Bombyx mori: one gene and its partners. The protein of the gene in region 3 binds, or shares a complex with, the protein of the main gene of each other region. Links are inferred from orthologs where the notes say so. Each region holds a gene or a part of one and is shown on either strand. Other genes may lie near its edges. The genes, in order: RNA polymerase II-associated factor 1 homolog, parafibromin and RNA polymerase-associated protein Rtf1.

Region 1 (3,367 bases), on a different chromosome or scaffold from region 3:
CTCAGTAATGAGGAAAACGACGCGAGGAGGAGGACCATGACCACAGTTTTTCAATATTTCTGTTTTTTTTTTTATCGGCAAGTTGCACTACTAGCCACTACAACCCTTAAAAATCCCAAATGCCCGTAGTTTATACACAAAAATCAATCAAAATATACTTTTCTCGATAATTTTGAATGATTTTTACTTTAAATTTTCGTGGGGTACAAAAAATACGGACGATATTATTGCAACTTTTAAATTGACGTAACTATCCAAGATATCAAATGGTATGAACACTCTAAGTAAACTAGACAACAAAATAGTACTATTTCTAAACAAGAAGTAATTTAATAAATTGTCCTTGATAGTAATGTTTACTGTGCCAAAATGAATTAGTTGTTCTTGAAAAACGAATTAAAACAAATGGCACAAACGATTTTACATTTATTGCATTATTAGACTTACAGTAAATGATCAAATTGTTTGCCACCAGCATTAATACAGGCACGACTGCGACATCGCCTTAAAAAATATCGTTATATTGTAGTAGTAACTCACAGCAAAGCGTGGCCCGGATTCACTACTAATAAAAAAAAAAAAGGATCTCCATTATTTTTGGATATTTTATTCGGGATAAATTACATATGTTTAAAACACAAGGTCAATGTTAAAGTATATCCGACATATTCTTCTTTCAGTCAGAACCACTATGTCTTGACGATGCACTCGACGCTGACCCACTACGTGAACCCTGGGAAATTAAAGAAATTATTTAATCAATAACAATATATTCAATCTTCTTGCCGCTCTACAACTAACATATCAGCAACATGTATTAAATGAATGAATGAATGAAATCATAAATTAGAACATAGGGTTCTATTGTCAAAGACTGATATATTTCTTCAATCACAGATTTCGACAAATAATATTAAAGACATACAGTATTAATCTATTCTCAATTTGACCATAGACTTTAAACAATAACAAAAGTTTGACAATAAACACAGAGTATGCGTGTGTGTGTCAAATACATGCTAGTTGTGTCATGTTTTTTTTTAATTGATTTAATCTATTTTTTATGCATAATTAAAAAAAGATTAATATTCTGCACTCCTTCTCTATATTCTCTATAAGTGAGGAAAATTTAATACTCCTCCGTCCGCGCGATTTTCGTAAAAAGGGGTAGAAAGTTTTTGCTTCACGTATTGATAACTAATACATCGTATTTCTCTCTGCTAATGGTTTGCTGGAAGAAAACTCATGAATGAGTTAAGCTCGCCTTTGTGCATAGTATTTAGACATTCTTTAAATCTGTTTTTATTGTATTTTCTTTTTGTGTATAATAAGTATAAATAAATAAATAATAATAATAATAAAAGATAATATAAAGATAAGATAAATCTACTACTAATATCATCTTTATTTATGACTGAAGGATTACTGGTGGCTCTGAGGCCTTTCCAGTTTCACCAGGATAGGTGGGGACTATATTATTATCATCTTCAAAGAGCTGATAGTGTCAGAAAAAGGTCTTTGTCATAAGGCCAGACCGATATAATTAAGATTCCGTTACTACAAGGATAAGGCAGCCTTAAAAATGTATTGTGTTAGTCACAAATCAATAAAGAACCAACCTGTTTCGAACCACTACGCGAGCGACTTCGAGACTTTTCGGAGCCGCTAGCCGATCCCGAATTCCTTCTAGAGCTAGCTCTGGATGAAGCTTTGGAACCTGAAGCTCTCGAAGAAGCTCGCGAGGCCCGGGACGACGCACGGGAGGAGCGTTTGCTGGCCCGCGATGACGCCCGAGAGCTGGCTTTCGAACCCTGGAAGTTTTTTTATTTTTATTGCTTAGATGGGTGGACGAGCTCACAGCCCACCTGGTGTTAAGTGGTTACTGGAGCCCATAGACGTCTACAAAGTCTTCTAAGTGGAATAATGATTTGCTTAGCAATGGACATTATGCAGCACTGGAGAAACTCAAGATACGAAAACCACTTATTTGATGAAATACTTGAAATAAAATCCGAGGGATTATTAGCTGTTATTCTTATTTAAGTTAATCAGCTAATTCAGAAATGTTCGAATTGATGGGATGTTCGGGATGATACCTGAGTGAACTTACAATACCCATCACCAACCAATTTCGGCGGCGAAACTGTCATGGGGCCGTTCAAGTATTACGTAAGCAGATTTATTACTATTATTCACACCCCCTTCCCCTTGCCAGCAAAAGTAAGCAAAGCCCTGAGCCCGGCGCGATAATTCTCCTCCTCGGTTCCAAGCGAGTACCTAAACGTAGCCATTATTTATGGGAATCCCCGAAAATGCGTTTCGTTTTCAAGCATAGACAATGTGTAGGTTGCCAATATGTGTGAAAAAGTAAATAGCTACTGCTGACGTAATCACCATCTGGACCCCCCACCCCCATGTCATCAAAAATAAGCGAAGCAGAGACGCCCCCGCCCCCTATAGTGCTTACGTAATACTTGAACGACCCCCATGCGACAGTTAGAACGTTGCCACAAGTACAATACAACTGAGACTTCGAGCTCATGTAACCAGGAATGCTATTCACCATTTGGCATCTATAAGATTAGTGAGCACTGGTGTATCCGTAGACTCGGCCCGTCAAAGGCAAAGGATTGAAATAAAAATAATAAATAATAGTTTAAAAAAACTAAAAAACACGCTTTATATAAAATTCAACTAAAAAATAGAAAATAAATTTAAATTGAAAATAGAGTAAAAAAAAATTATTTTATTGTAAAAAAAGCGTGGTTTTTTTTTTAGTTGAATGATTTCTTAGTTGAATTTTATAGAAAGCGTGTTTTTTATTTTTTTAAACTATTATTTATTTTTCATTTTTTAGTAAAATTTTCTATAAAAGCGTATTTTTAAAACTATGAAATACTTTAACATCAATTCCTGCCTTATCGATTATAAATAAAAATTATGTAAACTGGCAAAAATCTTATTTTGCAAATTGAATAATGGAATAATCTTATCAAATTAGTGTATTGTCATCAGTCCTTGATAAATCTACAAAGTTTGAATGTAATCTGGCCGTTTAAAGTGGCTTCAAAATCTAAGCGTCTAAAGAAGTCAGTTACAAACATACAAACATACATTTATTAATTATTTTTTTGTTGCTTAGATGGGTGGACGAGCTCACAGCCCACCTGGTGTTAAGTGGTTACTGGCGCCCATAGACATCTACAGCGTAAATGCGCCACCCACCTTGAGATATAAGTTCTAAGGTCTCAAGTATAGTTACAAAGGCTGCCCCACTCAAACCGAAAGGCATTACTGCTTCACGACATAAATAGGCAGGGTGGTGGTACCTACCCATGCGGACTCACAAGAGGTCCTACCACCACAA
Region 2 (2,505 bases), on a different chromosome or scaffold from region 3:
AAATCAAATCAACATTGATGAAAGTGTCTCGTAAGTGTAAGTATTAAACCGATATAATATTTACAGAAATCAAAGTACAATCCTCAGAGCTGCCATTTGTGGGCATAACAATATGAGTTCTGTTGTACTTACTATTATCAAAGATTTGAACTGGATTTCCGTCCCACGGCCATCCTTTAAACTGCCAGGCAGGTCCCTGCACGAATACCGCCACAACACGGTCCCATTCTGCTGCTGATAATCTTCCAGGATTGTCTACAACTCGATATGGCACCTTAAAGTGGGTGACTGATTTAGAAGTAAGTTTGCATAGGTAGATAACTCCTCAATGTCTCTTTAATTTTTTGTTTCACTTCTTTGTGGGCCAGACATGTTTAGAGCCCAGTCAGCATTAGTGATTACCGGAACCTAGACGCCACAGCAAGATTCGTTTCCCACGGTCAAAGTTATAGTGATGATAGTCACACAGAGAGTAGCTGGTTATCCATTATGAACACCAGTAATGGCAAAAGTAAACAAAGAAACTCTATACGATTTTAGTTTGAATAAGAGCAACTCGTTTACTTGACAATACTGTCAACTATCCACTACTGTGATATTGTTATAATGTTATAAGCGTTGTTAACACTCAAATATGATCACTTTGTGGCAGATAGATACATTTGTGGAACATACACGTGGATCATACTTATTTGGTGAGGTTACAATGTATCTATCTGCCGCAAAGTTTTAACTACACTTGCAGTGCGCGAGAAATGAAATGCTAAAGTTAACTATTCCATTTATCTTACCAAGCATATTACAATGTGTTTAAGTTGTTTTTCTCTAATATTCTTGGACTAAGATTCCGGTTTAATATCTAGTGGACTATGAGCTCAACAATAATAAACAATATATTTTCATATTCTAATTAAGAAAACTCGTTGCTAATTATTGAAACAAACCGTTATTGTAGTGGCATTCGTTGGTATTTGATCGCCAGTTTGACCTTTTCTTCTTTGCAAAAGTACTTCATTCTCGCGAACTGCTCCCTCAGTTTTTTTTTGCTCTACAGTTACAAATCTGAAAGAAAAATTATTACTATTAAAATTTATTTATTACTTATTTATTAACTTTGAACCTTTTATTTTTCCTACAACATTTTCCCTACCCCACGACTACTCTTGTCGAAAACGTAGACAGGACTTCAATATTATCTTCGGTTTTGAGAACTATGTGAGCTAAATAAAAATACTCACTTGAGATCTTGAAGAATATCTTTAACATTAAACATAGAGATGAGTGACGTAGCTGCGGCGGGAATGATAATGATGGGAGTGCGTGAGGGCCGCTTTCCTCCTGCGGGAAGTCGGGCTGCGGCCACCGGCAGCAGCTCCCTGCGACCAGGCGTGCCAGGCATAACAGCACCGTTTTCTAAAAATATATTTTTTGCCTCATTTAAAACACGATTGTCATTGATCGACTAAAACTAATTTTCATTTAAATTAGATTGCATAATTTATTTGTGCTTGTTCACAATAAAATAAATAATAAAACCTAATAAAACTTAATATCAGTGATGTGAAGTTTAAATCAGATAAAAGCCATCCCTAAACAACTATAGCCCCTGACTAGACTATATAGAGTCATTGCTATCAGGTGAATGATTTTGTTTACCCTTTTAGTGCTGACCATATTTTGCAAAAATTGCTGAAGGATTATTGAAAAAAGTCCCTTATAGAAATCTTTGACTTAAAAAAATATATAAAAAATAATTCTAAATACAGAGAAAAATAATTTTAAATGATTATTTATAAATTTTATATACTTATTAAAAACGTTATAACATGTGCGCGCTTAGACACTTCTGTACAGGTTGATATCTAATACCTAAAAAACTGCGCAAATAGGCGTTATTCCCACGCTCCCCACTTTATATCTGTTAATTGAGAGTCAATCTATCGACAATTCGTACTATAAGAATTAACATACTTTATAATTAAATATCGGCTCCTGGCATTGCTGAAGTCCATGGGCGACGGTAACCACTTACCACCAGGTGGGCCGTACGCTCGTCTGCCTACAAAGGCAATAAAAAAAAAAAAACCTAAATAGACTTCAACAGTCTCACATTTTGCTGAAACAAATGTTTTTGAGCAAGACTAAAATGAAGATTTAATATATGGTAACTTTTGGATTTGATTTAAGTTGCGTACTTACGTGGCATTTGTCTTGGATGATTGGGCGTTTGAGGGGCTCGAGCTGCTACAGGTACACTTGGTCCTTCTGTTACTGATTTCAATGTCATACCATGATAGGTACCCATGGTATCAATCTTGAAGCCTTCCGTTTCTGAGGAAAAATAAATCAAATTAGAATTTGAAACATATTACAAAATATTGAATTTAATAGATATTTACAAAGATTATACATTATTAGGGAATGAATGTGCAGTGATTTGTTTAAGATTATTTTTGTTCTTGATGTCTTACTACACCCTAATTAGTGATCTATCGGAAGCCAAAT
Region 3 (3,664 bases):
TCACTTACTGCACTAGTCACTAAATATATTAAATTTCCTAACTCGGCATACTTCAATCAGTTAACAACTGCTCAATTCATATCATACCCTGTGCCTATGCTAGCATTCTGGACGATTTTTGAACTGTTATTTAGTGCTGAAAGTGGGACACTTTTTCAATGATATTGAGACGGCTCTCCTTACTTCTACCCTCCATAATTGAAAACAAAAACATGTCATATCAGGTCTGTGTAGTGTAACAACAAAAAATTTCATATACTGTCTGTGTCTCAGCTGCTGAAGCAGAAGCAGAGAAAGAGAAGGAAAAAGAAAAAGAGCCCCAGAATGAACCAGAAGAGACGCCTCCTAGTCCTGGAGAAATACTGGACGAAAGTAAAGATATGGGTATGCTCCACAAATATTATTCAATCAGATAATTTCATTTCAATATGATAATCAATATGATAAACACTAATACCGAAACTGCTTTGAATGTTGTTGATGTAATGAACATTTTTTTTCTTTTTTAATTGTCTTCGTCTTCAATGCCTTAAGGCGAATTTACATTACGAAATTAGTGGCATGACATTAATTTCGTGACATTAGTTTTACCAACAGTTTCACGTGTAATTGAATACTTTCGTAATGCATGCATTAATTTCATGCATGCAAATTAGTTTCGTGCCCTGCGCGATTTTTTGGTGAAATTAGTGTCATGCAACTAATTTCATAGTGTAGACGCGACGTGAAAACTAATGTCGCGAAAGGGCCTGCGCTGTGCGGACGTGTGTATTGTTAGTTCGGACGCGCTTTAAGCGTTGAAAATGGCAAACCAACGATGGAGTACAGAAAAAAATATAGATCTTATTAATGAATATCAGCGACAACTACAGTAAAAAATCAAAATTATCTTCACTCATTCGAAAATAGTTTTTATAGCTCTCAGGATCTTCATCTGCTAATTCAGAGCATTGCACCTAAATGCCTTCTTGGTAACCATCCTCAAATCTACCAACGTCTTTTTTTCTTGATAATCTATTTTTAAGTTTATAGGTATATAAGCATTTCTTTAGCTACATTGAATATAGCAAATTATAGCTTTGATGCTGAAGGCGCCGTGGTTACTGCGATACTGTGGATTTCGCGACACTAATTTTTTAACGAAATTACTTTCGCATATATCGAAACTACTTTCGTGAAACTGAGTTCAACATGCATGACACTAATTTCGTAATGTAAACTCCGCATTAGGCATTGATTTTTACGATGTCACAGTATACACGAAAATGTCAGATGCTTAGATAAAAAAATATTTAAATACAAATAAATTTCGTCAGTTTTTTCATACGCGATAAAAATAAATACCATTTTATTAGTAGACTAGACCAGGGGCAGCGGCTTGGCTCTGCCCCTGGCATTGCTGAAGTCCATGAGCGACGGTAACCACTCACCATCAGGTGGGCCGTATGCTCGTCTGCCTAAAAGGGCAATAAAAAAAAACCCGTCCGCTTCGCTGAGCATTTAAAATTAACATAATTATTTCTCATCCCCACAAAGATTCTCATCATTAACGCCCCCGCAACTGGTGTAGGGAGTCCAACACTCATATAAATATTAGCCTATCCATTTAGTACGTGTATTTTCTACACGGATACCAAGTTTCAAGTCAATCGGATGCACGGTTCAGTAGTTATAACGGAACATCCGTAAAAACCACTGTGGATTTATATATTAGTGTGGGACTTGCTTAAAGTAAATAATAGCAGCTTATAGGAAAAGTAACAAAATTTGTTAGAATAACACGTTGTAATCGTTCACACTCTTACTATGCCCGATCGCCATCTTGACCATTTCCCCTCCGTCCCTTTCTTCCTCATACATTCATCCCTTTCACTCGAAAACGTTCCGTTTCCCACAAAAAAGGGTAAATTACCCCAAAATGGGGTAAAATGAAATTTTGGGGGGTAAAAATGAAACTTGTGAGTAAAAAGTATTTAAAGAAGTAAAACTTCTTTAGAATCGTTGTGATTTCAAACTCGATGAAACGAAATGAAACGAAAGGATTTTTTTTTAAATTTTTTTTCAAAATTATCATGGGGTCTATAATATGAATGCTAAAAAGAAGCGATTTTGTTTTTTTTTGTTCTTCGCCATGGCGTAATATCAACTTGCACAAAAATATTTTGGGGTAATAATTAAAAAAAAGTTCCCCGACCGCTGGTATAGATAACAATTTACAGCTGAACAATAAAAAAATATCGTTAACTAAACGTGTGATGTTCCACAGAGCCCTCAGAGAGATCAGCCTCTCCGCTGTTTGGCTGTAAAACAGAACGGAAACGCGCCGTGGATGACAAACGACAGAATGCTATGGCCGCGTTGCGAGCTCAAAGGGCTTCGAGAGTGCAAAGGGCGCCGGCTGTGAGTTTCGCTTTATTTATTACACTTGGGCCATTACTGTGACACTACTAGCTGACCCGGCAGACTTCGTAGTGCATAAATCGCCAAATAAAAGACCTAAAGTTTTATATACAATAAAACAAAAAAGGAATCCGTCCGACGGGGGGGGGGGGGGGGGACACATCAAAGTAAAAACAAATATTTTTATTTCATTCCGAGAATTTTCATATTTATCTAAACCTTCTCTGGACTTCCACAAATAATTCAAGACCAAAATTAGCCAAATCGGTCCAGCCGTTCTCGAGTTTTAACGAGACTAACAAACAGCAATTGATTTATATATATATAAAACGTACTTAATAGCCTGACTTTGTATTGAATGAAATAAATAACTAAAAATAAAAAATAAAAAAACCTGCAAACTGAGTCTGCAAAGTTTCTCTGAAAGATCGAATCAGAAACGAGGTGATCCGAAGTTCTGAACCAAAGTTATAGACATGGCACAGTGAATTAGTAAGCTGAAGTGTCAATCGGCTGGCCATATTAACCGATAACCGTTGAGGTAAACGCGTTCTTGAGTGGAAAACGCACTGCAGGACGCCCTCAGGCTCGGTGGAGTGAGGATCTGTGCAGGGTGGCTGGTAGGAGCTGGATGAGAGAAGCCAGGGATCGTGCTCAATGGCGAGCAATTGGAGAGGCCTATGTCCAGCAGTGGACTGATTTAGGCTGATGATGATGAACTGAGTCATAAAACATGACGTCAAAGGAATATGACAATGCCGCCCAACTCGATATCGATAAAGGGTTGCCACTTGGGTTTAGGTAGTCAGATGACGTGGTCGATGATGACTTGTACATGTAAATTGTAGGTTGTAGGTGTTTGTGTTAAAATTGTGTTAGTTATCATTAGACGATCCTACGTGAACCATCCAGGCATTATTCGATAACTTAACATTGTTAAAATTAAATTGTTTTTCTATTGTGTTATTAGATATTTGCAAAATGTTCAACATCAAATTTGTTGAAATATGGACCTTTTGATTTCCTTTCCTTTTTGTAAAATATAACCTAAGCCTAAAATGGAATAAATACAATTATTTATTTATTCAACAGGACGCTGAAGCAGATTTAATAGGCGGCTCGAGCAAACAGACTGTGAAACTTAAAGCTTCAGATATTTATTCGGACGACTCCGGCTCTGAATCTGAAGATAATAAATCAGGTGTGGCTCAAATTTACATCTCAAGCCTCGTGGTCTGATGGGCTAGGAACATGATATATGTCT

Evidence for each region.
Region 1: RNA polymerase-associated protein Rtf1 (region 3) and RNA polymerase II-associated factor 1 homolog share a complex: the UniProt entries of both Caenorhabditis elegans proteins name them as parts of the PAF1 complex. The link is inferred for Bombyx mori from reciprocal best matches to the Caenorhabditis elegans genes rtfo-1 and pafo-1.
Region 2: RNA polymerase-associated protein Rtf1 (region 3) and parafibromin share a complex: the UniProt entries of both Caenorhabditis elegans proteins name them as parts of the PAF1 complex. The link is inferred for Bombyx mori from reciprocal best matches to the Caenorhabditis elegans genes rtfo-1 and cdc-73.

Annotation. Positions count from the first base shown.
Region 1 is NC_085120.1:5,063,808-5,067,174, reverse strand, and holds the end of RNA polymerase II-associated factor 1 homolog, read right to left. Parts: intron 1,812-3,367; coding exon 1,620-1,811; intron 938-1,619; exon of another isoform or gene 734-937; coding exon 677-733; 3' UTR 588-676; downstream 1-587. UniProt on the Caenorhabditis elegans protein: Component of the PAF1 complex which is a multifunctional complex involved in transcription initiation via genetic interactions with TATA-binding proteins, elongation and transcription-coupled histone modification.
Region 2 is NC_085121.1:7,755,014-7,757,518, forward strand, and holds part of parafibromin, read right to left. Parts: intron 2,332-2,505; coding exon 2,200-2,331; intron 1,414-2,199; coding exon 1,239-1,413; intron 1,063-1,238; coding exon 945-1,062; intron 275-944; coding exon 133-274; intron 1-132. UniProt on the Caenorhabditis elegans protein: Component of the PAF1 complex which is a multifunctional complex involved in transcription initiation via genetic interactions with TATA-binding proteins, elongation and transcription-coupled histone modification.
Region 3 is NC_085130.1:8,014,671-8,018,334, reverse strand, and holds part of RNA polymerase-associated protein Rtf1, read left to right. Parts: intron 1-273; coding exon 274-384; intron 385-2,266; coding exon 2,267-2,400; intron 2,401-3,492; coding exon 3,493-3,601; intron 3,602-3,664. UniProt on the Caenorhabditis elegans protein: Component of the PAF1 complex which is a multifunctional complex involved in transcription initiation via genetic interactions with TATA-binding proteins, elongation and transcription-coupled histone modification.